2 linked regions of the Drosophila melanogaster genome follow. The protein of the gene in region 1 interacts with the protein of each later gene in a pairwise test. Each region holds a gene or a part of one and is shown on either strand. Other genes may lie near its edges.

Region 1 (17,147 bases):
ATTCATAATATTTTTTTTGAGTGTGGTATTAATATTATTTATATATATTTAATATTCAACATGAAAATATAAAAATACGAATAAAAAAATTAAACTATGGCGGTAAAGGCAGTGGTAATAAGTAGCTAAAAATTTAAGCCGATGTACAGGGTAGTCTAAAGTCGAGATCCCCGATGTCTGTGATATTCCTTTTTTAGCGGATTAATGTGTAATGTAAAATTCGGGCACACTTACGGAACCTGTTACTTTGTTTACCTACTTGCTTGGAAATTTTGAACTCAATGCCACCGCGGTTGCCGTTCGGACAAGTCAGAAACTTATTGATTCAGGGACACATAATTCGAAGGATGAGCTCCCAACACAAGGTGTACGTAACCAGGCCGGATGTGGATGACAGCGGTCTGGAGCTGCTGCGCAAGAGGTTTGTTTTTGTTGTTGTAACCGGCTATTTAGTTATTAGCATAGACACTAATTTCGACATGCACGATTTTGCTCAGCTGCCAAGTGAGTACCTGGCATGAGACCAATCCGGTGCCCCGCTCCGAGCTTATCCGCGTCGTGGCCGGAAAAGATGCCCTTTACTGCGCTCTAACGGACAAGGTTGACAAGGAAGTCTTGGATGCTGCCGGTCCTCAGTTGAAGTGCGTGGCAACTATTTCGGTGGGTTACGATCACATCGACGTGGAGGAGTGCAGGAAACGTGGAATTCGAGTGGGCTTCACACCGGACGTCCTAACGGATGCCACGGCAGAATTAACGCTTGCCCTGCTTCTGGCCACCAACCGCCGACTATTCGAGGCCAACAAGCAGGTTTACAACGGCGGCTGGAAGTCGTGGGCCCCCATGTGGATGTGCGGCCAGGGACTGAAGGGCTCCCGGGTCGGCCTGCTGGGCTTCGGCCGCATCGGCCAAGAGATAGCGGCACGCATTGTGCCATTTAAGCCGACGGAGATAACATACACAACACGATCACTGCGCCCCAAGGAGGCGGCTGCTGTGAATGCCCGGCACGTGGACTTTGACGAGATGCTTCGCGAGTCGGACTTAATCGTAGTCTGTTGCGCCCTAACCCCGGAGACTAAGGAAATCTTCAATGCCACTGCCTTTCAGAAGATGAAGCCCAACTGCATTCTTATCAACACGGCGCGTGGTGGCGTTGTAGACCAGAAGGCCCTGTACGAGGCACTGAAAACCAAACGAATTCTAGCAGCTGGTCTGGATGTAACGACGCCGGAGCCATTGCCAATCGACGATCCTCTTCTGAAACTGGATAATGTGGTTATTCTCCCCCACATTGGCAGCGCTGACATCGAAACGCGCAAGGAAATGTCCCGGATTACAGCCAGAAATATTCTTGCTGCCTTAGCTGGCGATAAAATGGTAGCCGAAGTAGAGCTGTAAGCCGTGTAATCTCAGCGTACAATGAATTTTTTCCACATCTTTTTAAAAACATCTGTTTGTAATTATGTACAATGTTCTAATTAAATATTTCGTACTTTCAAAGGTATTTTAAAGGTACTGAAATTATTGAAACACTTGTATTACGCCGATGACAGTGCTCGCAATGAACTGATCCGTAAATGGTCGTGGCCACTCAGAATCGAAATTTTTGTGTTATTTGCGTGGGGTATACTCCCAATCTTTTGATCATTAACAAACAAAATTATATTCCTTTATAATGTATGTGGGTGCGGTCAAGACCTTGGTTTTATGTATTATCGCCTAGAACAGTGAGTTTATAAAATTATAGACCTTATCTTATTAAGTAATTTAAAAATGTGTATGAGCAAACAAAACAATTAAACTGCAACTAGTCCTCGCCAGGCGGCAGGGGCTGGTTAAGATCACTGCCTATGGGGGGAGGAACTGGTAGTGGTACTAGAGACGTCAGTACGGGCACTGTGGAAATGACACTAATTTCTGATGGATCCGGTGCCTCTTTTTTAATATGCTCGGCACTGATGTAACCGCCGCTTTCGTCCTGAAAAGAAGATACTCGTATGTAGTAGCTGAACGTCTTCGATATTGGTTCGGTATTTGAGTTACTATTATTTCATTTAAGACTAAATCAAAAAATGCATAGTTACCGTCACGAACACATCAACTGATTTCCCGGAGATGATGTCCAGAACCTGCTGGGTTATACCACTACCATTCATTGGTTCATCCTGCATGCTCTCCGCGTATTCCGACAATGCTGGCCTTAAATCGGGGCACTGCTGCAGTGCGTCCACCAGCTGGGCGGGAGGAAGGTGCAGCAGGATCGGCATTGACTGCGGTTTCAGGCGCTGCACGGTCTTTAAAAAGCCCTCCCAGATTACTTTTTGCCGCCAGACCTGCTTGATTATCAGACGCTGCAACAAGTTCATTACAAAGTTTGCCAGACGCGGGTACAGAGTTAGACTCTGAATTGTTGTGCGCATCATCAGAGTAGGCAGCGGAGTAACCTCTACAAGCTGTTGCAGCACAGCCATAAGTACCTCCTGTGTGTACAGATCTCTTTCAGCCAAACATAGGGATGTAGCCTTAACGATGGCTTTAATATCGCAGACACTCGTATCGATGGTGTGCAAAGCCACGAGAATATCAGTGGGGGTCATGGCCATCGTCTGATGCGCGAATTCGGCACCGATACCAAGCAATCGATTGAAAACCTCCTTGACCACAGCGGGATTAAGTTTAATCAGCTTCGGCAGAACGGAAATTAGCTCGGATCGGGTTAAGCCACTTAGCACGGGTATCATCACGCGCACATCCTTGACCTTGTTCTGGTAGAGATCCCGAACCCGCCGAACCAATTCTTCATGGGGGGATGGCACTCGCTCTGTCAGTATGTAAATTATACGGATCACTAAGGTCTCCATACCCTTAGGACAATCCTCGATTAGTTGCAGCAACGTCGGGCTTTCTACACCCATCTTTTTTATGGGAATATCTAGACTGCGCAAGATCGTGCGTTTCAGTTCGGCAGATGTAGAAACAAACACTTGACAAATTTGCTGTAAGTAAACTATCAGGGGAAGAGAATATTAAGAAATTGATTTAATAGTTTTTTTCTTCTTTAATACGGGACAGCAACAACTTACCTTCCGGTTTATAGGGCAGCAGGGTAAAGGCCAAACCAAAGCACACCTTGGTAGTGTCTTCCCGCCAATCAGGCTCCTCGGTTGGTCGACCAAAGTCCTGCGAGAAAACAGCTGCCGGCGGAGATTCCTGTTCGATAAATTTAAGCCACTCCAGAGCGAATTCGTCTATTCGAGCCGGTAGTATTTTGTGTACATGGTACAGACTGACCAGGTGGGCCTGTGCCAGATCCCGCAGATCCAGTCGCTCATGCACAGAAAAGTTGAGCAACACTCTAACGAAACGATTCTTTCGCGGCGGCCTAAGCACTGCAAGGTCCTTGATTAGCTCCAGGCCGTGCTGGGAGAACTCGTCGTCCAGGCTTAATTGAACTAGATGTCCAATTGAGACTTCCGGAAGAATGGGTGCTTCTAGATATACTCGACGAATCAAAATAATCTTATCCTTGTGATCGCAACGCTCTCCAATGCCGAAGATAAGCTTATTCAGCAACTCGTTGTAGGCGTGATCGGGTCTGTTCTCTGTCTTAACATAAGTGTGCCTTGTAAATCCTTGCAGCAGAGAGTACTCCTCAAAGAGCCAGGAAAATGCCAAATCGATACGCTGTTTTATATCCTCCAGGATGAACTCCATGATGCCGTAACGTACGTTATCGGGAAAGGTGGCAGCAATCACGGTGACCAGCTTACGGCGCTTTGATGACACTCCTCCCTTAATGCATTGCCGCTCCGAGTTGAGGATGCGACGCACTGCATCAGTTAGGAACTTCTCTTTTAAGTTGCGTGGCAGAGGCTTGGTGATCTCCTGCAGCTTCAGCGTCTTGGCGCGCTCCTTCATCTTTTCAATAACAGTCTGCTCACCCTTGGCGCGCTCCATGGTCTCGCGCAGCTTCTTGGTTGCTTCCTCCTTACGCTGAAACTCTTCCTCACTCAGTTTTTGAACAGCATCCTCGTCCACTTCCATTGCAGTTAGTGTTGATTCAATCGCTTGCACTTTCTTAACCCGCATTGGCGGCTCTCGACTGAAGGTTGCGGCACCTGGGCCTAGGCGCTTTTCAGATAGTTGTTCGCCAAAAAATCTGGAGATATTGGTTACCTGCTGCTGAATAGACATTTCGCGAATGGGTGTATATTCCTGAAGGAACTTTTGTGGCACCTCAGTGGGCAGACTGGGCAGGAACTCCAGCACCAGGGTCACAACAGTTTCAGGATTACGGAAATGCTCTGCCAGAAACTTTTCGTTAACTCGAGTAGACTTCTGTTTCTGTCGTTCCAATTCCTCAGTGTCTAGCTCCATTTCTCGCTGCTGCTGATCCTGCTGCTCACAGGCCAAGCGCGCACGCTTTGCAAGACTTTGCGCAGCATTTTCGAGGATGCGTTTTTGTCTACGAGCCATTTCCTGTTTGTCCATTTTGGGAATAAGCTTCTGGATCTCATTTGTGGAGGACCCCAGATCAACTAACATTCCTCGGATAGTGCTTGCAAACTCAAAGGCACCGCGGTTCTTCAGCAATGTCTGCAACTGCATCTTAAGGCTCTTACGCACGGAGCTTACTTGCGAGTCAGTGAGGGTGGGCGGCAGGTTGGCATTCAGCTGCTTAAAGGCTTCCACCACGGCGCCCATGAAAATGGGTCGCATTTTGGCAATTGTACACAAGCTGCTTGTGCAGGCAATCAAGTTCACTGAGGAAATATGCGTTGTTCCGTGGAACTGAAGCAAGATATCTAAAATATTGTTGCCCTCCTCTTGCAACTTTTCACGGCGGAATAGTGTGCAGTGATCGGGGACATCTGCCAGCGAGAAGTCTCCATCTCGTTTCAGACTGTCCTCGTCAGCAAAGCTCTGCAGAACCACGACGCCCTCCAAGAACTTAATGGCATTTGTACGTATGCCGTCGTTTTCATTGTCGATCATGTCCAGTATTTGCGCCTTGATTAAGCTGAGGATGTTCCACGCCTGCTCCGCACTGTCGCCGGGCTCCATGAGGCTGCACAAGTACTGCAATCCATTCTTGTAGATGCTACCGCAGGCTTGGATCACTCTTTTGATTACCTGAGCCGAGTTATCCCTAAGCAGCATAGACACGACGTTAATGACATGGGGCAGTAACTCCACCTTCACTTTACTGGGATGGAAAATATAAATCGTTTCAGCAAGAAGTTAGATCCTTTGATGGAAATCCTTACCAAACTTGCTCTACGAAGGCGACTACCTGCTTGCGAACCTCCATGTTTGAGTCGTGGGCCAAAGACAGCACGGACTCCAGGAATTCTTCGGCCAGCTCCGCGCACGATCCAAGCACAGTCTCCTGCACCTTAGCCAGCAGTTCGCACTTTGTCGAAGGCGATGCGATGACCAGCTCATTGCACCAATCGACCACCTGAATGGGAAAATATATGGTACAATACAGCAGTCCGGACTGTCTTGTCTGATTAAGATTTGTGTTCTACCTTAGCTCTTGCCGTAGCTGTCTTCTCGTCTGTGAACAGATTGGCCGTCTCCGAGACAAACTGGCTGCGTCCAATTATGCTATCCATGTTTGGTTAATTGATGCAGATTTTGCCTAAATCTGCGATACTTCGGATATTTTTAAGAGCTGCCGGCACGGATGGCAAGGTGTTATCGGTACCATTGAGAAACTATCGAAAACGGTTCTATGATGTTGGTAATTCTGCATATTTCCGGACCATCTAGCTATTTTTTGCCAGCTCTTAATGTGTTCAAAAGAAAAAGAATATTTTACTAAAAACTTGGCTTATAATCAAATGAACCGCCTGCAAACTAATTTTCCTTGCTCGTTACCGTATAAAAAATTAATAAATCACATAAATTAAGCCATTTTTGGCATATCTCAGCTTAACGCGTTATTATCGATGAGCATGCCGCAGTTGCGCTGGCCGAGCGATATGCGGGGGTGACTATCGATAAGCCAGAGGCATCGATTTGCTCACATTTCTTGGGTGTTTTAGCGTGAAAAAAACGCCTAAATAAACGAATCGGCAGCGTGTCAGGCCAGAAAGTGCAACAAACGGATCGCAGTTCGCGACGCAGTCGAGGATTGGAACAGAAGACGCCGTCGAAGGTGCCGAAAAACGTCCCAGCAACCGCCAGCCGTCGCAGCGGAGTGTTTACTGGGCGAGGGGTGCAGTGGATGAGCTGTGTGGGCGCGTGCGTGTGTATGTGTGCGCCAGTGAGTGGGGCAGAGGCAGCGGCAGAGGAGCAGCGGCGGATGTAGCTCGTTGCCCGGACCCCGTAGTGGATACCACGAAAAGCTAGCGCAAACGTAGGCAGTCCAACAAAGAAAATAAACACTGGAAACCGAAGACGACGAGGCCTTCTGGAACTGGAACAGCACTGCTCAACAGCCGCAGCCGCGTCGGTGACCGCACCCTAATGTCAAATAGCCAAGCGAATGCCGGCATCAGCGGTAGCACGGTAGCGGATGAACCCATCCAGCACCACCCTTCCTTGGCGGCCGGCCCCGTAAGTGCATCCTGCCCAGCAGCGACCCCGCCGTCGCAGTCGACGCAGCAGCCCCCGCCGCACATAGTTAGTGCCTCAACAGCTGATGCGGGCAGCAGCGCTGCGGTCGGCGTCGGCGTCGTAGCTGGCAGCGAGGGCGTCAATCTGGACTCGTCGCCACGCGAGTCCGGGGACGATTCGGAGGATGAGAGCGAGATTTTGGAGGAGTCGCCATGTGGACGCTGGCTGAAGCGACGCGAGGAGGTGGATCAGCGTGACGTACCCGGTATTGACTGCGTCCATCTGGCCATGGACACCGAGGAGGGCGTAGAGGTCGTGTGGAATGAGGTGCAATATGCCAGCCTACAGGAGCTGAAGTCGCAGGAGGAGAAGATGCGGCAGGTGTTCGACAATCTGCTGCAGCTGGACCACCAAAACATTGTCAAGTTCCACCGCTACTGGACGGACACGCAGCAGGCCGAGCGACCCAGGGTGGTCTTTATCACCGAGTACATGTCGAGCGGATCGCTGAAACAGTTCCTCAAGCGCACCAAGCGCAACGCCAAGCGGCTACCGCTGGAGTCGTGGCGCCGGTGGTGCACTCAGATTTTGTCCGCACTCAGCTATTTGCATTCCTGCTCGCCGCCCATCATCCACGGCAATTTAACCTGTGATAGCATCTTCATCCAGCACAACGGCCTGGTCAAGATCGGCTCGGTGGTCCCGGACGCGGTCCACTACAGCGTCCGGCGCGGCCGAGAGCGGGAGCGTGAACGCGAACGAGGCGCCCACTACTTCCAGGCGCCCGAGTACGGCGCCGCCGACCAGTTGACCGCCGCCCTCGACATCTACGCCTTCGGGATGTGTGCCCTGGAGATGGCCGCCCTGGAAATCCAGCCCAGTAACAGCGAGTCAACTGCCATCAACGAGGAGACCATCCAGCGCACAATCTTTAGCCTGGAAAACGATCTGCAGCGCGACCTGATACGAAAGTGTCTCAACCCGCAGCCGCAGGACCGACCCAGCGCCAATGATCTGCTCTTTCACCCATTGCTTTTCGAGGTGAGTTTTCAAGTCAATTATCTTGTTCTAAATGCTATAAATTCAAGACCCGCATAACAATTGCCTTGTCAACTAGACCTTGCATTCTAATTCTCGGATCCATCGAGTGAGAGATTTAGTTTAATAAGACACCTGATATTATTAAATTTTATTTTAAGTAAATAATTGAAATCTGAAGATTTGAATAATTATATGATTTAAATGCACCGTTAAATATTTAAGTTCTAAATTTGGTTTTATCCGAATCATATCGTAAATTATCTTAGAATTTAATATATTATATTCATGTGTATATTATATATATATGTATATAAATGGAAGGAGAACTAGTAATCAGTTGATAATTCTACAATCCATTTTGACTGTAGTATATTATTTATTGCTCACAGTCACTTATATCTTAAGTTCAAGTTGTGGTTAATATGTAACTATACATTTTATTTTGATTACTGAGGGTCTGTTGTTTTATTTTCATACCTGTTACTATATTCGTTAAGAGGAAATTAACGGGTAGAAGGAATCGTTTTCAGCCCTATATTGTTAGCGATTCTTCATTAGAATCGTCCACTCCAACGGAAACCCCATAGAACTGCCACGCCGATACTTTGGTCTTATTTGTCTTGTCAATATCCATTGGTATGCCATTTTAAAGTGTGGAAACTTCTCGTTTGCACTTCAACTTGAGTCTGATATTCGAGAAAAACAGTGTAGCGTTCGCTCTTGTTGACTTTAAAATATAAATTTGTACATGGTTCAAATGACATTGCAAGGTATTCTTATAACACTTTTATAAAGGTAATTAACTGAAAAACTCAGTAGTTAATAATCAATTTTTTGCTGCTATTACTACAGGTGCACTCCCTCAAACTGCTGACTGCCCATTGCCTGGTCTTCTCGCCCGCCAACCGCACTATGTTCTCGGAAACCGCCTTCGACGGCCTCATGCAGCGATACTACCAGCCGGACGTGGTTATGGCCCAGCTGCGGCTGGCCGGCGGCCAGGAGCGGCAGTACCGACTCGCAGACGTTTCAGGCGCCGATAAGCTGGAAAAGTTCGTCGAGGACGTGAAGTATGGTGTGTATCCGCTAATTACGTACAGCGGCAAGAAGCCGCCCAACTTCCGTTCCCGGGCCGCCTCCCCGGAACGGGCTGACTCCGTAAAATCGGCCACGCCGGAGCCTGTGGACACGGAGTCGCGGCGCATCGTTAACATGATGTGCAGCGTTAAAATCAAAGAGGATAGCAATGACATAACCATGACAATACTGCTGCGCATGGACGACAAGATGAACCGCCAACTGACATGCCAGGTGAACGAGAACGATACGGCGGCGGATCTCACCAGCGAACTGGTGCGCCTCGGTTTCGTCCACCTCGACGACCAGGACAAGATCCAGGTGCTGCTGGAGGAAACGCTTAAAGCGGGCGTTATGAGCGACGGTGCCGGGGCAGAGAGCTCCGGTGCGGGGGTGACGACCACGGCGACCATGGCGGCCTTGGAGCAGCTGGAGCGCAACTGGTCGATATCCTCGGATGCAGACAAGCAGGGCACTGCCGTGATGTATGTACCGCAGGAGCAGCAGAACGCGGACGGGGACGTCGACGTAGAACACTCGGGCACGACGAGCAATTGAAAGTATCAGCTTAGTATTCAGGGCATGCCGGCGCGTATTGTTTTTATTATATTGGGAAATTACACATTACGATTTTATTAATACTATTATTTGTTATTTTTATATATATACCTATATATATGTGTATATGTATGTATGTATTTGAAATAATATTTATGTATGTATGTATCATAAACGATGTTGAACCAGGCTTCCAGGCTAAAGATTTCGATGACGTGGGACACGCGGCAGACAAAGGTGGGTCGCCTCTCGCGAGCACGATGAACATTCAAAATCGCAGGAACACTTAGCGACATGTCTTAGAGAAACTATAAGTACAGTATAATTCGCTTAGCTGCATCGATAGTTAGCTGCATCGGCAAGATATCTGCATTATTTTTCCATTTTTTTGTGTGAATAGAAAATAGAAAATAGAAAAAAAAAAATTAAGTTAGCTGCATTTTTAAGTTACCTGCATCGAGGCATTGTGCAAAGTACTCGAGGCAGCTAAGCGAATTATACTGTATAACAATAATTTAGCTCGAAATCGTACGCGGAAAGTACCAAACATGGTTCAAAACGATTCGTTTGTTTCCATGCCTGCTAAAAACAATGTTATTAGTCCTTTAGTTTCTTTGGTAAATTTGCTAGGAATTGTTTCGACTCATGTCCCAATTGAAACCTCGATCCACTGCGACACCTCGACACAAACTTTTGAAAAAAGCTGCTAGCGAGCTTGACAAAAACCAAAGCATTCGCTTAGCACAACTCTGAAACGAGCACGAATGGAATTCGCAGCTCCGACTAGCTGCGGCTAGACAAGATTCGAATACGAAAACCCAGACACATTAGATTTCGATAAACGAACATCTGGACGCCAATGTAAGGATCATTTTTTCTAGGACATTATCAAATTTCATAAGCTAGCCATGTCGCGAGAACAAACCCTAAAACCGCTGTGGAATGTATTTAAATGTATTACAAATATAAACAAATACGCAAGGCCACGAAAAATAATAACTAAATTATTAAACTAAAAACTATGAAAACACAAGCAGAGCATGCAACAAAAAAATACACAACAGACATAGCTACACTACTATTAAACAAATAAAGATGGCAACCAGCTGACTAAATACAAAGTCTTTTTCTTTGTTTTCTAAGCTAGTCGAGTTAAATTAGAATAGGGGCAGATAATCAGATTTTAGTTTTCTTTTGATTTATTATTTTCTGAGAATGTGCTAAAGCTATATTGAAATTAAATCCCGTAAGGTGACAAAAAGCCATTTAAGACCCACGGACATATGAATTACTCACCATTTCAAATTTGTTTTTACGAGGTGTACGGATTATGAGCGGAGTCACCCGGTGCTTCAGCTGTCTTAACAGCGGATTAACATTTTATATATCGATGCTAATTGAACTGAACTGTATTCTTTCTTTCGCTCTTGTAATTTTGCGGTCATAGCGATCAGACGTGATTTTTGTATATGAAAAAATAAATGAAGTTAAATAGTGTATATATGATTCTTATTTGCGAACCCCATTACAATGATGTCAAAGCAGTGAGGCATCACAACTATTCATTGGTGGCCCATGAGGGGAACCTTGCTCATAAGAATCATAATTAATAATTGCTAAAAGCTGTTTGGCAATTTTATCTTCGTGGTCGGCTTCATCCAGATAAATCACCGTGCCTACGTTTTCTATCGCGCTCGCTCTCATCACGACAGAGCAGTATACGCAAACATTCGCGCTCGCTCTCATCACGACAGAGCTAAGTCCCGTTGCCCTTCGATTCCGTTAGATTTGCCGGAATCTCTGCCAACTCAAAAAAACAAGACGTCAAAGAAGAACACCGATAACATACGAGCATTTGTGCATATTACATACAGTGGAGCAACGTCAGTATAAACAATGTCGAAATTTGATCAACTGGTGCGAGTTCAAACTGACCGCATTGAGTCTTTGAAGCGCTTGTTCAGTAATGTGAAAAAAGACTCGAGTGCGCGGAAAACGGAAATATATTTCGAAAAACGTTTGAATCAAATCGACGAGTTTAACAAAGAATTTCATCAGGCGCATCACACACTTATATGCATGGCAGACTACGAAGAAAGTGTGTATAAGCAACAAAATACAATCAGCCAATTCGAAGACCTGGGCATGGAAGTTTACTGTTTCGTGGCCGAAGAAAAGAAACGAATTTATCCAGGCACAGTGACGCACAACGAATCAGCTAACTCTACAATAACAACACATGTAGAGGAAGTACGGATACCACTGCCAAAATTACCAGTTCCGAAATTCTCTGGCAACTGCGCGGACTGGCCAAGTTTTCATGATGCATTTTTACGCTTAATTCACAATAATGAGCGTCTGGATAAGATTCAAAGGTTCCATTTTTTAAAGGAAGCATTACCAGTAGGCCTGGACAACGACATTCGCCAAATCGCTTTAACTGAAGCAAACTATGAAGTCGCTTGGACCACACTTCTACAACGATATAACAACCCACGAATTGTGTTCGCCAGCCACATGAACATGCTCTACAACTTACCGAATCTTTCGAAAGAAAAATCTGCTGACATACGGTCTATGGTTAGTACAGTCAACGTCTGCATTGCCGCTTGCAATACCGTCAAGGCGCCACTACAGGGAGGAGATTTTTGGTTGACTCATTATCTAACAACCAAACTACCCAAAGACACTCACACAGCTTGGGAGCATCATCTGGGCAGCAAGATTGACGTTCCTTCATACAAAGATCTGCAACAGTTCCTCAATGATCGACTTGTTACGTTAGACGCTATTGAAAGCCGTAACGCGTGCAGCGGCATGAAACAGTCAAATGAAACTTCAGACGGTACTAAACGCGTGCGTGTGCACAGCGCCCACACCAGGTCGGGTGCTTCCGCGTCCGCTTGCTATCATTGTGGCAACTTACACATACTTCGAAGATGTCCGCAATTTCTTTCAATGGATTGCTACCAACGGAAGGAAGTGGCCAGCAAGGCAAAATTGTGTCTCAATTGCCTGGGAAAATCGCACACACAAGCAAGCTGCCCCAGCAACAAGAATTGTCTTCATTGTGGTCAACGTCATCACACGATGTTACATTTTCCAGCAACACAGCCAACGCTGATACCCTCCTCGACATCATGCCAAAGTTCAGCAGCCAGTTCAGATGCCAAGCCGACTCTACAGTGCATGTCAACTACAACTTCATCTATGACTCATCGAAAGGTACTACTAGCAACAGCTCGGGTTGTACTCAGTAACACACAGACAGGATGCCAGGCCACGGTAAACGCGCTTCTTGACCAAGGATCGGAAGCAACTATCATTTCGGAGCATGCTGTACAGTCTCTCCAGCTCTCCCGAAGCACAACTCGCACTTCAATCACCGGAGTCGGTCAAGATTCAGGACGACGCTGCAAATTCATCGTAAGTTGTTCGGTGCAAACAGCAACTAACCCAAATTTCTCGTTAAAGGTCGACGATGCTTATGTTTTGAACACGTTGACATCACACATGCCAAGTCAAAGTTTTCCAGCAGGAAACTGGAGTCATATCCATGGTCTCATGCTCGCAGACCCCTATTATTATAGATCCAAGCGAATCGATATCATTTTTGGAGCCGACCTTATGGCACAACTCTTGTTACCTGGAACTAAGATTGGCTTGCCAAACGAACCCATAGCGCAGAATACTCAACTCGGATGGGTTCTGTTAGGCAATGTTGGCAACACGCATATTACACGCCACATTCGATGTAATCATGCCATAATAAACTCCGAAGAGCTGCTTAAGGTATTTTGCGAGGTAGAATCAGTTCCAGAACGCCCAAAGCTCTCCAAAGAAGATCAATGGTGCGAGTCTTTCTTTAAGCAGACCCATCAACGTCAACCAGACGGCAGTTATCAAGTCCGTTTGCCATTCAAGAGGAACTTTGACCCCAGTATGACGCTCGGAAAATCTCATCAGATCGCCCTGAACAGATATCTTCAACTCGAAAGGCGCCTTCAAAGGGACCCAGACAAATGGATCAGATACTGCAAAGGAATTGAAGAATATTTTCAACTAGGTCAAATCACGTTGGCAGAGACGAGCGAAAACTCAACCATAACCACGGATTCCTACGGTCGGCATGTTGCATCATGCGTGCTACCACATCATGCAGTTTTCAAAGAAGAAAGCCTCACCACAAAACAACGTATCGTTTTTGACGCATCGGCCCGGACCTCAAATGGCAGATCGTTAAACGATGTACTATGTGTAGGTCCCACGCTGCAAAATGATCTGCCAGCCGTTCTCTTGAATTGGAGACAATATCAGTTTGTTTTCACTGCCGATATACAACGAATGTATCGCTGTATCAATGTCCACCCTGATGACACGCAGTACCAGAGGATTTTATGGCGGGCGGCGGATGGAGTCATCAAACAGCATTGCTTAACTACCGTCACGTTTGGAACAGCGTCTGCACCTTATACAGCTATAAGAGTCATCCATCAAATAGCTGAAGACACACAGACAAAATATCCTATGGCATCCAACGTTCTCAAAAATGAGATATATGTCGACGACATTCTCTCAGGCGATCATTCACAAGAGGCAGCAATACGGAAAAGTTTGCAAACTATGCTAGCTTTAAAATCCTCTGGCATGGAGCTACGAAAATGGGCTAGTAATGACCAGGATCTGATGGCAACGATACCTCTCGAGCATCGATGCAAGCAGACATCCCTCAGTTGGGACAATGCGGACACCATCAAAACACTGGGTATGTACTGGTTGCCCAAGCAAGATTGCTTCACTTATAAATTACTAGCAAATACTCCAGCCGGTATAACAAAACGAGAAATCCTATCGACCATAGCACGTTTATTTGATCCTCTTGGATTAATCGCTCCAGTTGTAATTTCAGCAAAGATTATATTGAAAGAAATCACACTAGCGAAGCAATATCGCGAGGACGGATCGAGTACCTCACTGGATTGGGATGAGCCAGTTCCCAACACCATTGCCGTCAAATGGCAACAATTTCGACAGCAACTAATGAAGGTTAAGACGATCAAAATACCACGCAGCGTCAAATTTACGCCACTATTTAGTAGTGAGATACAACTGCACACCTTTTGCGATGGATCCTCCAGTGCTTACGCAGCAGCAGTGTATGCACGCACCCAACAGTCTGATGGGACTTTCTATACAACGCTCATCGTCGCAAAATCAAAAATTTCGCCAACCAAGCCGTTAACAATACCGCGCACTGAGCTATGCGGTGCAGTATTAGCTACCAAACTCACCAAATGGGTGCTGGAGAATAACCGATGGACCAATGCACATATATCTACCTTTTACTGGACCGATGCTACCATTGTTCTGCACTGGATTAAAGGAGACATTACTAGGTGGAAAACGTTTGTAGCCAACCGAGTGTCTTACATTCTCGACCACACCTCAGCGGCTCAGTGGCACCACATAGACACATCGGAAAACCCAGCAGATTGCGCAACCAGAGGCTTACCACCGAGCCAAATACCTGATATTTGGTGGCATGGCCCATCCTGGCTATGCAAACCACACAATATTTGGCCAAACACGCAATCACAATTGCTCAATCCAGAAGAACGGGATCTGGAGGCCAAATCCATAAAAATTAGAGCCTTCACTACCTTGTCAGACACAAAGGATTCTATTATTGACCGATTCTCGTCGTATACAAAACTGCTACGTGTCACGGCATACATGTTACGATTCTGCCACAATGCTCATGCTCGAGCACAACGAAGTCACGGATCACTCTCTCCTGACGAGCTGGATGAGGCCCTGTGCTGCATAGCTCGCCTTGCACAATCCGATACATTTCACGCCGACATCCAAGCGCTTAAAAGGAACAAGCCGTTACCACCCCGTAGCACACTTTCAAATCTTACACCGTTTCTTGACAACAATATCTTGAGGATTCGTGGCCGTCTCAAGCATTCAAATCTCTCTTTTTCTCGAAAACATCCAATTATATTACCTCATTGTCACCTATTTACAGATTTGGTAATTCAACACTCTCATCAGCTCACTCTACATGGCGGCGCTCAATTAACACTGGCTCACATACGCTACAAATTCTGGATTCCCAGAGGCAGACAAGCAGTCAGGCGAATCATCCGGAAATGCGTCACATGTTTTAAGGTAGCTCCAGTCGTAGCGAAGCAATTGATGGGTGACTTGCCATTACATCGAGTCAACCCCCCAACTCGTCCGTTCATTACAACAGGAGTTGACTACACTGGTGCGATTGAACTTCAAGCCGCGCGTGTACGAGGATCAACCACCTACAAAGGCTATGTAGCCATTTTTATATGCTTAGCAACCAAGGCGGTCCACTTGGAAGCCGTCACTGGACTTTCAACAGAGCACTTCCTGCAAGCATTTACGCGATTCACCGGACGTCGAGGACAAGTTCAACATATGTATAGTGATAACGGCACAAATTTTGTTGGCGCGAGTACATCGCTTAACCAGCCCATCACTTGCAAGGCAGCCCTAAACGAATCGACATGTCAACATGGGACAAGGTGGCATTTCACACCTCCATATTCTCCCAATTTTGGTGGCATCTGGGAGGCAAACGTGAAAGCAATGAAGCATCATCTTAAACGGATCGTCGGCAGCCACAAGCAGACGTATGAGGAGCTTACTACAGTTTTGATCAGGATTGAAGCATGTTTGAACTCACGTCCACTTTGCCCGCTAACCGCCGACCCTGACGATTTAGAAGTACTAACTCCAGCACATTTCTTAATTGGTGACGCACTACTGGCACCGCCACAAGGTCGGCCGAATAATAAGCCTTTGCGTGAACTATTTCTCGCACAACAACACATGACGCGACAATTCTGGTCTCAATGGTCTCGTGATTGGTTATCACACTTGCAAACTCGGCCAAAGTGGTGCCAAATCAAAGATAATCTTAACATCAACGACTTAGTCATTATAAAGGATGATAATCTACCACCAGCTAAATGGACTATAGGCCGAGTCGTCGAACTGCACCCTGGATCGGACTCGCTAGTCAGAGTGGTTACATTAAAGACGAAATCTGGCATTCAAAAGAGGTCAATCACAAAGCTTTGTCCACTTCCGATTTCAACATAATTATGATCAACACACGGATCAAGAATCACAAGGAGCCTTCATGCTGGACGACGCATTGGCGGGCGGCATGTACGGATTATGAGCGGAGTCACCCGGTGCTTCAGCTGTCTTAACAGCGGATTAACATTTTATATATCGATGCTAATTGAACTGAACTGTATTCTTTCTTTCGCTCTTGTAATTTTGCGGTCATAGCGATCAGACGTGATTTTTGTATATGAAAAAATAAATGAAGTTAAATAGTGTATATATGATTCTTATTTGCGAACCCCATTACAATGATGTCAAAGCAGTGAGGCATCACAACTATTCACGAGGTACTCAGAATTCAATCGTTTTCTCTTAAGCGACTGTTTTTAAATGTGTGAAACGAAAAGAAATATTCTGAATATTTTATAACAATTAATAATGTGTACTTCCAGCAAGTGCTCTCAAACGAAATTTTTGAAAATAACTTTATTTTGAATTGAATGATCATAAGTAGGATGTATTTTTGATAGGCAACATCTAGGGTTAGCTTTCTCATTAAGTAATACCAGTTTAGGCACACGCCTGAACAGCGGACTCGGCCTCCTTGGGCTCCGGCGAGCCCAACTTTATGCGCTTGCACTGCCTCTCCTCCGGCTCCTCATCGCTAAAGCCTTCCGGTGGAGCGACGTTCAAAGAGTCTGAGTCAGGGAGCTCCTTATCGTCGCTCGATACTGTCAGCGCTCTAATGGGTAGCTCCTGCTCATAGAGATCCAACAGCTTATTGCCTTCGTACA
Region 2 (15,374 bases), on another chromosome or scaffold:
GGACTTGGGTGCCAGCGATGTGGAGGTGGATGTGGCCAGGCTGGAGTTACTACTGGCCCTGGACACCGTTGTGGGTGTCGCTCCAGCTGCCACGCGACTCATCATGTTCAAACGCAAACTTTCGCTGGTGGTGCGCTGCAAAGCCGAATTGCTGCCGGCATTGTTGCTATTCTGATAGATGTTGCTGGGTGGATAGCACACAGCAAAGTGATGGTTGCTGGTCAGTGAGCTGACCTTGGTCAGCTTGCGTATGTTACCGCCAGTGCCACCGATAGTGACTCCACGGGATGGTGTCAGCATCGAGTTCCGACGGACCGGATTGTTGCCAGGTCCGGCATTTGAGGAAGCCGGCTTGAACTTGGCATTCACCGTGCGATCGAACATGTTGCTGATGCTGTTGCGATGCTGTTGCTGCTGCTGCTGCGATGTTCCGCTGGTTGTGGCTGCAACTGTTGCTGCTGCTGCTGCTACTGTGGCTGCTGCGGCTGATTGCTGGCGTCGGAGCAAGGGCAGTGCTTCCTGGGAATTTTCAGGGGATGAGGCCTGCGAGTTAGTGGGCGATTGGTTAGCTAAGACCGATGTGGTTGAAGCGGCCGTGACTGATGTGGTGGCTAGTGGTTGCTGATGTTGCTGGTGTTGCTGTTGCTGTTGCTGCTGATGTTGCTGTTGGTGACCGGAATCTTTGCTGGCCGCACTTTGATTCTCGGCCATAATCGAATTGGATTTCAGCGTGCGCAAAGTCTTTAGCAAATAATCCAGGATTGCTAACGATTCTTGGATTATTTGGGGCCACGGAAAAAGTTATAAACTATACCAACTTGCGGTTAGTTTCGATTTCTTAGTTATCCACTACGGACTATGATGATAGTTATTAGACTGTTTAATTAAGTTCTGTCAGTTGTTGCATTAGCTGCTGCACGCCTGCCAATTCGAATGCGATTGTTGCACTGGCCAACCGACGACGCCGATGCATAATAGCGGTTACCGTTGCGTTGTCAGGTGCCTCTGACTGCCAACTGATCCAATCTAATCCGTAACCGTCCCTTCTATAGGGTTCCGTTCTGTTCCGATCCGATCCGATCCGATACGATACGATACGATACGATCCGATCCGAGGACTAGCGACGTTCGCGACCCGACGCGACGCAATTTGAACCGACCGACCGACGATGGGTAATGCGAAACTCTTGACTATTACTACTATTTTTCCTTTATTAATTTGTGTATGTTATTTGTGTTGGGTGAGTTGATTTAGTTAGGCTGTTAAATTACAATTTATTGGGGGCTAGGTGGTCTCTTTTTTTTGTGTTGCGGGCGGCTGGTGGGCGGTTATAATTTGACTTTCCGCGTTTGGTTTGTTGATGCTGCAGCGGCATCAACAACAACTACAACAGTGTGTGGCACACCGACAACAACAACAACAGCACTGGTCACAGGCGAGAGCGCCATCTAGCGCTTGACTTTGTTTAGCGGGCGTTTCAATTTTCGCCAACAACACCGACGCACACACACTAACACATAAGCAGCACTCACACACACACACACGAACACGGATCTATCACGTATACGCACACGCGCGCAGCCTCTCACACACACCGGTGCATGTGTACAGCACAGCTGTTAATCGAATCAATTCGATTTGATTCAGTTTCTACAGTTGGATGATTCGTTTTCGAAAGTAGGCTTGTTGCTTAAACGTGGTTTCAAAACTTGGTATCACACTTAAAATATTTCTTAGAAATTATGAAAATATTTTGGTGATCTTGGTTAACTTGGAATTTCTATTCATCTACTTCTATATTCATAAATTTGTTGCACTTCTCCACTTTGTCGTCACACGGTTACGCATAGGTTTTCAATTTGTTGGTTTAATTCAGCTATATCTTTATCGTAGAATTAATCAATTTCATCGGTTCAGTTTTACTAGCACATTGCAGTAAATTGTAGAAATGAAATCCTGTAAAATGCCAGAGCAGAAAAAGAAAATACCATTAGAATTCATTTTAAATTAAATACGAGAGCAAGAGGTACGAAATTCGATCAAGAACAAACATGAATATTATTTTCCATTATTTGTTTATTAAATTAAAAGCACACAAAACGACGCCAAGCACAAAGATCGCGAAGGGGGTGGGGCTTAAGTGGAAAATGAAAGAGGTAAATAATTGCACAGAGCAACACGACGTATACGTAATATATAAAAGAAAAAAAAAATTGTCATGAGTTCGTTTGAGCACTTAAAAACATGAAATTATGACGAAAAGTAAATAATCTTTCGCTCAATAAAGTGTACGTTTCAATTCATTTGAAATTATCGCCAGGAATAGGCGAAACTTAAGTTTTAAATGGGTAAGATGAGCCTGACTTCTACCTGAAGGGTGCATAAATCTAGTGGCCGAGCTAAATAAACTAATCAAAGAGCTCAAATTCTACATTTTAGTATTCCCTTGAAGTTAAACCCAACCGGCTACTGTGTATTTATTGGCTGATTTTCTATAAGTATCTAGTTAAATTTCATAACTGCGTAGTTCATGTTCGTTTATTATCATCATGATGACGATGTTGATGATGCTTTTGTGTGCTTTTCATTATTTTTTGTTTCGCCTCAGTTTTTTTTTTTTATTATTGATTTCATTGAGTTGTCGGTGTTGTGGGGGTACGTCGTAGTTTTGTTGAATTAGTTAAGTGCTACATTAGAGGAAGGAGATTTTAACGGAGGGGGTTTCCTTCCGAACCAGTGAGAAAAAAGAAGCCAAATGTCTGTTTGTTTGTTAACACTTTTTTTTAGTCTCCTTTCATTTTTAGCTGATTGTCTTATTATCTTTTGCATTTGCAGTTGAATATTCAAATATTTATTTGCTCTCGGCATTGATTTTTTCGCCCTCGCTCATTATTTAATCGATTTCGTTTACGGAAATCAGAAATGAGTCCGCTAACCAAAGAGATAGAGATAAAAAAGGCAACCCACAAAATGATTCGCGAAAAAAAATGTTGCCGAAAAAGTTTTGCAAACATTTTCGGGCACACGCGCCGTTTTTTCCGCACTTGTGTTGGTTAATAACCGTAAGCTTTTCGACGATCATTCATAAATTGCGTGGACTGTTTAGAAGAGAGTGTACTTGTGTGTTTAAGTAAAGTGGGCCCTCGATAAGGATTCTTCATAATTAACCATCGTTTTTTAAATTTTAGAAAATTTGAATTAATTTTTTTTTGGTCTTAAGCAAAAATAAGAAGATCAAATTGAATATTCAATATTGAGTCATTAAAGCAATATCTAAATATACAAAACAATATCTTTCATACAACGGTTTTGTTTAGAGGGACATTTTGTTGACCTGAATACTAAACTTATATAATAATTCATATATAGACTTTTGAGTGATTACTGTAGTGGCGTTTGAACTCTGCGTTTGCCCTGCCAGAAGGCAAAGTCAAGACCTTGACGCTGCTCTTTTATTCTTTCTCTCTCGCTTAATTTTGTTTTATTTCTTTTGCCTAATCGAGTTATAAACGACGCAAAAAAATCTGATTATTCTGTGGCTAGGAGAGTCGAAAAAAAGAGACAACCAACAAAACCAGCAAACCAGAAGAACAACTGAATAACAAAAAATCAGTTATAGGTCAACATTGGTCGTAGCACTCTCTCAAGGTGGGTATTTTTGTTTTTGTTTTTTTTTTTTAGTTTTTTGGCCTGCTGTTTGTTGGGGGTTTAAGAGTCTATTGGCCTTGTTCTTGAGCCACGCAGGTGTTGGCCCAAAGCTTCTTCTTCAACTTAAGTTGATTTCGAATATAATTTGAGGGAGTAAAGTTGTGGTAATTGGGCATCAGTTGTTATGAATGAAAACCAATAGCTCTTTAGAATGGATAATTAATCTAGACGAAATTGGCTCAATTAGAGAATTTAATCCATTGAAAAAGCGCACACCCAAACCGAACCAGAATACCCAATTCATCAAGAACCACTGGAAGTGGAGTATCCATTCTTGTAACTCATCTTCTGGACAATAAACTTGGGACCCCTTTTAACCCCCCGGCAGTCAATAATCAAAGTATCGCTGTAGGCACCAGATTTCGCACACAAACAAATCGGCGAATGGAAAGGAGGAGGAGGAGGACTTCTGCCTCTGCTCACTGCCTTCCTCAATAGCAAAAGCAACAACAAGGAGATGGGGTGAAAAGAAAATGAGAACTAAAAGTGCAGACAAGAAGCAAGCAACAGAAGAAGAACTAATTGCAACGACAAAGCATAAAATCGATGGCAAGCCAACAACAACAAATGTAATGAAAAGCAACTACAACAGATAGTACAGAAAGAGGCAAGCGCGAGCGAGAGAGAGTGAGTGTGAGCGAGCGAATGCGCGTTGAGAAAATTGCAATCGGAGAGCGGGAGCTGCAAGAGAGCGAGAGCAGCCTGTTGGCCCCTCCGCAACCGCATCTACATCCACATGCTCCTTCCTACCAACGTGGGCGCCTACAAGTGGGCGGGACGGGGTGGGGGCCGCATACCAAACAAACCGCAAAAGGAGAGCGGCTGCTCGCTCGCACTCTCCCGCTCTCGGACAGCTGCCGGTAATCAATATTGATGATGATAGCAGCAGCCGAAGAAGATGAAAAGCAAAAGGAAAGGTGTCCCGATTGTTCGCAGTGCATCAAAGGTAAGCCAGGATATATTGCCAATACAAAATACGGTAATAAAATGCACTGCTGCTTTCTCAGCTAAACCATCAAAACCTTATCAAGCCCTACTAAACTTTAAGACTATCGGTAAAAACAAAAACGAAAATGGGATATAACAAAAAAGGCCTTTAGGAGCAAAAAATAGAAACAAAAAATAAATGGGTTATCCTCTAAAAAATCCTCTAAAAATTTATACCTTGCTGACAGATATAAAACTGAACTTTAAGGACACCAGGGTGTTAAATAATGCATAATGAAAATTCAACCGAGTTAATAACTTTTCAATCAGTGACTTTCCTTTCCTGTCTTTCACCCACAGGCACTTCCCACCTTTTCTTCGCTCTTTTCCTTTCCGCAAGGAAATGATTCACAATGCAAAAAAAATGGCAAGGGAAAAGGAAAAGAAAAACGAAGGCGTTGTAGGAGGAAGTAAAAGAACCCGAAAGAGCGAGAGAGAGCGATGTATGCAGAGAGAAGGCAATGAAAATGTTTATCAAACGAGAAAAGAGCAGCGACGAAGATGAGGAGGAGGCGGCTGCAAAAGGAACAACAACAAGCTAGAGATTACAATGACAATGCATCCATGAGATACTCAGATACAATTGAAATCGAATATAATTTCTCAATTGAATTGAGTCGCAGAATGTAAATAAAGCAACAAGACATCAAAGAAAATTGGTGCAAATAGGTGTTAAATGTACCGAAAGTGACAATACCCTAGATAAAATAATTAGTTATTTTTTTATGATGGTTTCATTCAAAAAGTTAACCAGTTGTTGAAAGATTGGTACTTTTCCGCTAGCAATCAACCCCGAAATTCCTACATTACAAAAAAAAATGAACTGATTGAATTCTGGTTTGGTCGACGTGACTGTCTGCACACGCATTTCTTTTATGCAGATAGATCCCTGTTCAAGAAACCCCAGCTTATTTCTTGCAACTTCTTGATACCGATACCTATGAAAGTAACTCGCAAAACAATCCAAACCTTTCTGAGTTTGTGCCATCGGTTGTATCAAAGAGTTGGCAGAAATCTGAAGTGTATCCGATTCCTAAACGCAAATATATCGTCCAGTTATAGTTACAAAATGGTGCATGGTAAGCAGAAAAATTTGCCACGCGGCTTGACAAGAAAACCGATCTGGCCTGAGGTTTATTTTGTTTTGCTTTGAAATCGGAGATGCGTTAAAAGGGATGATCATTATGATCGTGAAGATATTGTAGATTGGTTCAAGGGCATTCAAAGCTAATCAGATTTATTCATTTCAAGTTTGTATAAAAAGGGTACTCATACAGAGTGAATTTCATATTTTAGTTCATAAACTAGAAATTAATATTCTCAGAAATGCTGGTTGGTTTTTGCAAATCTACTATTATTGCACACCGCTGTTATTAAATACGTATCCATAATTCTAAACACTTGTGTGTAATTCGAGTTACCGTTAACCAAACAGAACACACAATTTTTTATATGAATTTCTACTAAAAATCACATATGAAAAAAAAATTACCCCATAATATCGGATGGCAAATAAGCAGAAAATTGCAAAATGGCACAAAAACAAAACTAACACTTGACTAAACAATCAAGGCGAAGCAGAACAGAAAATAAACAACAATGCCGGGCCAGCTGACATTATAAACAAAGGTAAATGGCACATAAAATACAGTAGAAAACGAAGGAATATTGGAGTTAATCAAATGCTTGGCCAGCTGTTTTGGAGAAATGGGAATGGAAAGAGGAAATGGGAAAAATCTAAGGTACAAAGTGCAAGCTGCAACAACAACTGAGCGAAAGTGAAGAAGCAGACCAAAAGGATGGGCACACACGCTGACACACACACACACACACACACCAACAATTACGCGACTGTTTTGCACTTTTGTTTCATTGAATTTCTCTGATTTTTCCTTCGTTTTGAAACATGTTTCGATTTGCTTTGCTTTTTTATTGGTTACTTTCTGATCGATTTGTTGCACTAAGAGGCAAAGGCCTCTCTTTTACATTTTTACCACACTTACGCGTATGTCAAACAATTTAAAATTACTTGTTTCTTGGCGTAAAACAATAAACTTAAAACAAGCGAACGGCCACGAATTTAATTTGGATGGGATATTAGTTTTTCGTTGCGTTTTGCTAATCGGACAAAAGGAAGGTAAATGACAGTTTTGACACTTGGCTGTGCACAAGCAAAAAGCGGAGAGCACTGCGAGAGAGTCGATTCGGAGAGCGAAAAAATGAGTGAGAGAGAGATGGAGAGAGAGAGAGAGGAATTAAATAAACGAAAAAGCGTGCATGAAAAATTGGCGAAAAAAGTTTTGTGCAAAAAAAAAAAGCGAAACGCCGAACTGCGGAAAGCAAACAATCGAATTCAACATTTTTTGTGCAAATTTTAACGCCAGGGAATTTTTTTCTTTTTAGTTTTCCTGGCAAAGGCGGCTCACACCCACACATACACAAACTCTCTCTCTATGTCTCTCTTTCGCTGCCACTCTCTTCAAATCTGCAGAGAGTCGGCAATCCACAATTTTTCGTTCTTTCGATTTTGCACATCTCTCCGCTTGTCACTTTACTTTTCGCAGCTCTTTGGCTTTTTGCAAATAAATTAATTTTTCAGCGCACATATAAATTTTCCATCAGTGCCATTTGTGCTCCGTTTTCTTATTCAATTTACACGCACACACAGCCGCAGCAGCAGCGCACACACATCTCTACATCTGCATGCCAGCTCGCTCACACACACAGCGACGCACACGTCACACTCATACACTCACACGCACGCACATACACAGTTTTTTCTTCGATTTTGCGCTAGCTCTCGCAGCCTTTTTTCGCTTTTCCTCGTCGTTTTCAAGGGCGCCGCGAGTTAAGCGATTTTGCAATACGTTCGCGGCGCGTTCGATTTGCGTTCTTTTACTTTTTATCCGTCTGCAGACAGCGAAAAAGACCAACAACTTGCCTTGCGTTTTTGTCCCAACTCAAAATGCCAATAAAAATATAATATCAAATAATAATACCAAATACTGAATACGGGATTTTTGGCACATATAGCGGTCACACTATACTGTTCAAAACTGATATTTTAGCATTTTTTGGTTTGGTTCTGTGCTAAATACAACTATCGATTGTTAAGTTCTACACGCAGGCGATTGTCGTGCGATATACGATATCGTTTACATATCGTTTAGAAATCCCTAGCGCAACATTGGCGCTCGTTTTTCCATTATTCGAAAATGAATTTAACATAAAATTAACATATACTTTAGAACTAAGTTATACTAAGGCGAGTGGCACAACTCTACTTTTATTTGATTGTTTTAGGAATCATTTTTGTATATAATGGGCTTATATAATGTCGATAATAAGTTCTGGTCAAAAATCGGACTATTATAAATTTTAATTATATTTATATTTAATATCATATCATCTATAATTATCATATAATATAGTTAAATTTTTTATTAGCAAAATAACTGCAGTAGTTACTCTTTTTGTGTCGAAATCACTGAAAAAATCGTTAAACAGATCCCGCGTCGAAGTACCGAACCAACAATTTTACATTTACATATATTTTACATTGGTTCGCTTCTTTGCTTTGATTTAGAAGCGAATTTCAACGAATCTAAGCGAATTCAAACGACTAAAATTCGATTGGTAAATCTTTATAAAAATATATGTAACAAATAATTTGAATCATTAAGAAAATTAATACCTTAACAATGCTTAAATTTGTATACTTTACTTGTTTTTATAAACAAAATAGATACATAGAACTGGCGCTCAGTTTTCTATTTTTTCTATTAAATTTTTCTATTGATGTTTATTAAAGCTTAAAAATAAACATAAATTATTGCCAGTAATTATGTAACTGCTTTTGAGCATTTCCTGTTCTAGCGCTAAGACTTCTCAAGAAAGTTTTGTGGAGTAACAGGTATCTGATAGTCGCACTGCTGCTTGTTACCTTCTTGCATTTATTTAACTCTTTGGTTCTTCTTTTAATTAAGTACCTTGCTGATACTCTGCTTGCTAACTTTAATCAGTTAAGACTTTAAATATATTCAACTCTTACCAACTTTCTTAAGCTGGCTAACGGGTATCTAATAGTCACACCATTCGACTAAGACATTCCTTTTTTCTTTTTTTTTTCGTCCTGATGGAGTTCAGTGAAGCGTTCTGATTTTCTTGTCAAAGCGGAAAGAAATCACGCTAATGATCGACGCACCCTCCACCAATTGAAACTCCACTAAGGAGTTCTATATATGTACATATGCATGTATATACAATTATATATATATTTATATAGTATATCGCAACTGACCACTTCGTTCGCAACGGAACGTGTTCGGGATTAGAATTAATTCCACTGACCAGCCCCGCCCCGCCCCGCCCACTTTCACACAGCGACTGCAGGCGACACCCTCGCATTTGGCCAACGTCTCATTTAAATTGCAGCAGGCAGGAAAAACATTTGGCAAACATTTTTCGCCCCCCAAAAACTGCCCCTTTTTTCGCTTGTGGCATTCAAAGGTTTGACGATTTGCCGTACATGTTTGGTGCGTAATTAGTGCAGACCGATGCGTTGCACCCTTGTGAAATGCCAAAAGTCCTGCGATCCACTCAATCGTGCTCACTGGCATTTTTTCCTTTTCTTTAACAATTTCCATTTGATTGCATTCGTGGGGAAGAAAATGCTGGCTCCGGCATTCATTGGGGTGACCAACGTTGGCGGGCTTAACTGTCATTTCCATGAGATGCCCATTTGGTCAAGCACACACTGAGCGAAAAAGGTTAAAAAATTACATATGTATATTTTTTTGAAATTGTTTTAATTTTTCTGTATTGAAAAATAGATAATATATAATAACTCATGTTATTTCAGATTATGATAAAACGAAAATAAGTTCTAGATTCTTTTTTGTGACTGTGAATTTTTCAATTACACAGTTTACATAGTTACATAGTATATTGCTTTGCCTGTGAAGTTTTCATTTCTACGATTTGTGATTCGGAGTATAAATATTTTTTTCTTCTGTGTAGGTGGAAATACACAACTCCGTTGGCAGCATACACATCCCCAACGCATATGCAAAACTTTTGCGTTTCATTTGAATTTCCCTCTCTGCGTATGCCACATCGTATCCTCGCATCCTCGCACTTTCTTCTCATTTCGCTGCCCGTAATTATGAAGATGAATGTCCTTATTGCTTTTATATCCCTTTTGCGTGTATGTGAGTGCTTTCAGTATATGTGGTTGAGTTTAGCCGCCGACATTCTCTATTAATAATGCTTTCAGTCACACTCTGCATACAAGTTCGTTTGAATTTGTTGCCATTTGGAACGTTGGCAGTTGCCTGGGTACTGCACAGTGGGGCAGAAATGTTATTAATGTTGTAATGTAAATGTAATGTTCTTAATTTTATCTTAATTTAATTTGGTTTTTATAATTTTTCTGAATAGATACTACTGGTTAACTTCAAATATAATATAGTAGGAAATTATCCCTAAGTTGTTTGTGGTATTGGACTTGATGGGAGGTATTTCCTCTTATTTCTCTTACTTTCAAAAAATCTGGGATAAAATGGCTTTTGTCCCACTGTGCCGCAGGAGCAGCGCGTGCAACGTGCCACGCCTGCCTGCCTCCCACGCATCTCGTTTTCTTTCGTTTCGCCGACGGCCGTGGCAATAATAAAGGAAAATCCGACAGGATGCTAATGCGTATTTAGTTATTTAGTTTGTGTGTGTGTGTGTGTGTGTGGGAGAGGGGGAGGGGAGGCTAAAGGACACAGGACTCGCCACATTTATGTTTGTTTTACGCGCGTGTGTGTGTGTGGGGGATGCAAAAAATATTTGCATATTATCGATTTTAGTTGCCGATGGAGTGGGAAATAGTGTACAGAGAAAACATAGCATCCGAAAAAAAGGAAGAAATATCCTTAAAGCACATCAAACAGGCTCATCTTACATTTATAGAAACTTAAGGACATTTAAGTAGCTTAGCATAGAACTTAAACCGATCAATTTGAGTTTCGAATGGCGAACGAAATTCGAAACTGAATACAAAACGTGCTGGGCACACACCAAAATGGCCGAGGTCCTTTAAGGACCATAAGCGGATTTCAACAATTTAAGCAAAACATTTTTTTTTTAGAGCGCAAAATGTCAAACGTAAAGGCGAAAGCGTCCAATTAGATGGCTCAAAAACTTTCCAATCAACCCTCACGAATTTGTGCTGCCGGGGGATGAGAGAGTCCTTACCAATATCCTGCGGCCAGTGCAAGAAAGAAATTATAAACAGTAATGAATTGTAAATTGAGTTGATATTGTAAGAAAATTAGTCAGTGTAAAGAAATGCAATTTTCGTAGAAAAACTACAAATCAAGCTATTAAAATAAGCAAAAAAATTAAATACGTGCAGCATAATCAACAAAAAACAAATATTTTTTCTTTCAAAACATATATATATATAATCCAATTCCCTGATTCCCGACAAGTAAACAAAAAACATATACGCGTATAAGCATTAATAACAATCCAATAGGATTTACAATGCATTGCAAATGTCATAAATATCAATATGAGCGACAGTTGACTATCTGCGTAGCTTTTTTAGATATAAATTTAATTTTAATGGCCGCAACGTCTAGGCAGGATAACATGAATGTCCTATTTAAAGGATTAGCCCATTGAGTTATGAGCCAAAAAAAGCCGAATTGCCACATTGCCACATAAAATATGTCTGCGTGAATTTGCTTTTTAAGTTAATTTTATTTTATGTCCCTTTGGCCAGCGGATTGTCCGTTGCGAAACGCGTTCCGTTTTTTTAATGGTGATTTATCTGGAAAGCGAAAGTGAAGGAGTTTACGGGGGCGTAGGCCTTTTGGGGATCCAGCGATAGCTTTTTTATGGCCAAATCCAGGCTGACAAATGGCCAAAGGACTTGGCCATTAGAGGCTGTTCAATCGCATTCGAATCTAACGTGTTACATATTAATTGCCCATAATTTATGACTAGCATTATGGAATATAACAACTTTTCCTGATTTGTGGAGCTCCCTTTCATTTTCAATGGTTTTCATTTTGCAGAACTAAATTAGGCGCACAAAGAAAAAAAACAATTTCAAAGCTCATTAAATGTTTCGTTTGCTCAGTATTTCTTTTTTTTTTGCCCAGTAGATCTCGTAGTGGATAAGTCTGGTCGGAAATTATGGCTAAATATTTTTGGCTATTTGGGGTTGTTTACCAGCCACACTTTTTCACCATACCATCCTATGGATATCTATCATCTGATTTTGGTAGGGGTTGACGGCTCTTGAGGGCGTGCACATAATCATAAGTGTCGCAATTGTTGAATGATTGCAACACGTAAGGCGCAACAAATTGTGCTTCATTGGGATCAAAATGAAATAGTTCTTTTGGATTTGATTCAAAATAATACAATTTTTTGAATAATTTTTAGCCTTAAAAATGCTACTAGTTAACCCATTGATGAACTAAATCTTACTTTAATTCTTCTTCTAATTAAAGTTGCGAAAGGTATTTAATGCATTGTGGCATACCTACTTGGATTCCCCTGAGAGACATACTCATCATCCGCTTCCGCATCGTATAAGTAATTTCCCTTTGACAGCCCGCCGCCTTCGCATTATGTTTTTATCTCGACACTTGGCAGAAATCTATTAGATTCTGACTCAGAGATCTGAGGACTCAATGCCCCCATCGCCAGTGCCAGGACACACTGCATCAATCCTGGCAGTGGCCATGCACGTCGCCTGCATTCGTAAGTCTGCGCATTTGTTTTTCCCTTTGTGCTGGGGTCTTTCATTCCGGTCTTCGTCTACATATGCACAATTAATATTCAAGCAACCGTTTCACCCCCCCCCCCCCCAAAGGACCTTCCGCAGGACCCATCTCCGATCTACACGGATTTGCCGGGCCTTCCATTGGCTTCACGCCCCGCCATTTGATGGGGTGCGAATTGCGATTCAGCAGGGTGCGATGCGACTTAACCTCAGTGTCCAAGGGAAGAAACTACTGGGGGATTGGAGTTTGGATTTGGTTTCGGGTCTGCAACATCCAGGGTCGCATTAAGTGTAGACATTATTCATTTTTGATGATGAATTTCCATGTCTCGCATGTCTAGGGCTTTTCCCTTGCCCATCGTCCAGTAATAAGTAATAAGTGCCGAGCGGCGCAAAAAGAGATGAGGGAAAAAAAGTGGAATATATATATATATACAATATAACCAAGTGGGGGAGGCACATGAAAAAACTTTTAGTTCTGTTGCTGTTTGGCATACAAATGAGTTAAACTTTGAATGGCAGTTGCCGGTGGGTTGAGGTCGGCCGGGGGGAGGGAGAACTTTCAGGGAAATGACCACATTTTTTTCTTTTGGCTTTCTTTATCCGGAGATCGTGACGATGATGGGGAGCTGCATAAGTGAATTCCGGCAAGTACACATATTGCGGTCTATATTTGGATTTTATTGCCAATAAACGAAAAAAATTAAGAGCCAGATAAATTATTTTGTTTCATTTCAAATTATTTGGAAACTCGCGTTTCAAAGATATTCTAATCTACAACTACAACTTAATAAGTTCATTCACGCATTGCATGTGGTATTCCTAAAATTGCATTTTGTTCTTTTTCATTGCGTAACAAGTGTAAGATGCTGTAAATCAATATATCTTTAAAATAATTGTATCTTAAGAATGTTAAGAATGTTTTTCAACATACCTTATGACTTGATAAATTATTAAATTATTAAAACTATAATAGTTGAAACAAATATAAAAATGTCGTCCCAAGGATTCGTTCATTTTGTAGGCAACATTTCTCTTATTGAACTTGTTCTCCACGCCCAGGACATTTATCTCTGAATCAAGGCGATGACAAGGCCTAACCATATGTGTGCACCGCTCCTGCCAGGGTTGTCATCCCATTCAACGAGCACACGCACTCCGTGGCAGAGAAAGCGAAACGTTTGGAGCGCGTAAAACTCATAAAACACATTAAATCCAATCGAATAATCGAAATGTCACATTAGTTTCTAAAATATGACCAGCCAACACGTAAGGAAGTTACGTACCCCAGTGTTCCTACAACTTTTACTCCACCGCCCACGCAGTTAACGAGAACCCAAATGTGACCAACCAACCAAACGAAAAAAAAAAAAAAATAAAGGAAACTCTTTTCAAACATCTTCTTCTGTCGTTGTGCAATTTTCCAAATGCCAATTTGGTCGCTTGGCTATTTCCAAACGATTTCATATATTCAAGTTGGAGATATAGACAGTCCCCTGAACACCTCGCATCCTCTGCTTTTTATGCCTGCTCGTCCTGTGGGTATAATTTTAATGGTCAAATCGCTGCTGGGGAATTGTATACGCTGCTCTTGTGTCTCACTGCCTCCCTTGTAGAAATGGAAATTGCTTTTCCATTATTTCCATGTGATTTTGTTGGTTTTGCCATCGAATTGGCATTGAAAACGCATAAAAATAAGCATTTCGCATTTGCAAAGATCCAAAAGATTTATTTGCACGCTGAGCCTGGGGATACACGAAATGTATTTGTAAGATTCTTCAGATGAGTTTGGAACGCACGGAAATTACCGTCTTGGGATTTGTTGGACATCGCATTTAAGCATGTTTTTTATTTTGATTTTTTCCAATTTAAAAACAAATAATCAGTGCTACGATTAAGACTGGATTTTCATTTTTCTTCTTCAAAGTTTTTCAGTTTTCTTTAAAATTACCTCCATAAAACTCTTTTAATATTTTGAAAATCATCTCCAGGTAAATTTTCATTTTATTTTCATTTGAGTCAGTTAGTTTCCCACAGTTTTCTTCTTGAAATAAACCCATTAAGTAACCCCAACTGATCGGCGCAAATGATTCAGCTATGCAGAAAATATGATTGATGATTTTTCCCTCCCACCAGCCCTTAACACTTGCTTAACCCTTTTGTGTGGCCATTATAGCCCTTTCCTCGTAGTCTGCTTAAAGTTCATTAATAAGTTTTGCGTGAGCCAAAAATGGCGCCGCTTTGGAATCGTGACAGCGTGGAAACTCTGGACTTTGGGGTTGCAAAACTTCGGAAGCTGAAAGCATTTTGCTGTAGCCATCGCATTTTGGGGGAAGAAATCCGAATTCGAGTCCAAACCGAATTCTAATAGAAGTTTTGCAGCAAAGTGCCTCAGACAGGTTAATGACCAAAAGCAGTTTTGCATTCAAATGCTGCAGCAACCCTCGCACGAGGGTTGTCATGACGGACGAAAATCTAATTTACAACATGCAACTGCCACTTTGAGGGGTGACTTTTACCCAAGACGTGGCTGTGAAGGAAATTCTGCGAGAAAGAGATTAATTACGCTCTGGGGGCAGTTAATGAATGCTTGCGCGGGGCGATAAGGGGTTAACGTTTGGCCAGCTCAAATTACCGAGAAACTTTCCCCCCGATGAGCATGACAAAAATTGGAATTTTCAACTCTTTTTTCCTGCGAAAAGCATAACTTTTCCATTAACACAATGGCGACGATGAGCCGGCAAATCGACGATACCAAATCGGCATAACGTGCATGAAAATTATACATGATTGATTTCATATTAATTTCTACGAATGTTATGAATCGGCTAAAAGATGAGAATGGAAATATTGCACGATTTTGATTTTGTCATGATGACAAAAAAGGGTTGTAAGATT

What was found.
Region 2: the proteins of Madm (region 1) and bun interact in a two-hybrid assay, tested with the Drosophila melanogaster proteins (one study listed by BioGRID).

The regions. Positions count from the first base shown.
Region 1 is NT_033777.3:5,736,508-5,753,654, forward strand, and holds Madm (MLF1-adaptor molecule), read left to right. Parts: upstream 1-6,002; 5' UTR 6,003-6,477; coding exon 6,478-7,608; intron 7,609-8,460; coding exon 8,461-9,243; 3' UTR 9,244-10,631; downstream 10,632-17,147. Other genes in the region: CG1236 (uncharacterized protein), read left to right, coding at 282-421, 498-1,401; Sym (symplekin), read right to left, coding at 1,811-1,981, 2,088-3,010, 3,087-5,209, 5,271-5,464, 5,535-5,621; Dcps (decapping enzyme, scavenger), read right to left, coding at 16,924-17,147. UniProt on the Drosophila melanogaster protein: May play a role in subcellular trafficking between the endoplasmic reticulum and Golgi apparatus.
Region 2 is NT_033779.5:12,538,944-12,554,317, forward strand, and holds the start of bun (bunched), read right to left. Parts: upstream 7,669-15,374; 5' UTR 7,467-7,668; exon of another isoform or gene 6,700-7,466; intron 5,401-6,699; exon of another isoform or gene 4,997-5,400; intron 4,656-4,996; exon of another isoform or gene 4,233-4,655; intron 1,960-4,232; exon of another isoform or gene 1,958-1,959; 5' UTR 1,573-1,957; exon of another isoform or gene 712-1,572; coding exon of another isoform or gene 385-711; coding exon 1-384. UniProt on the Drosophila melanogaster protein: Probable transcription factor required for peripheral nervous system morphogenesis, eye development and oogenesis.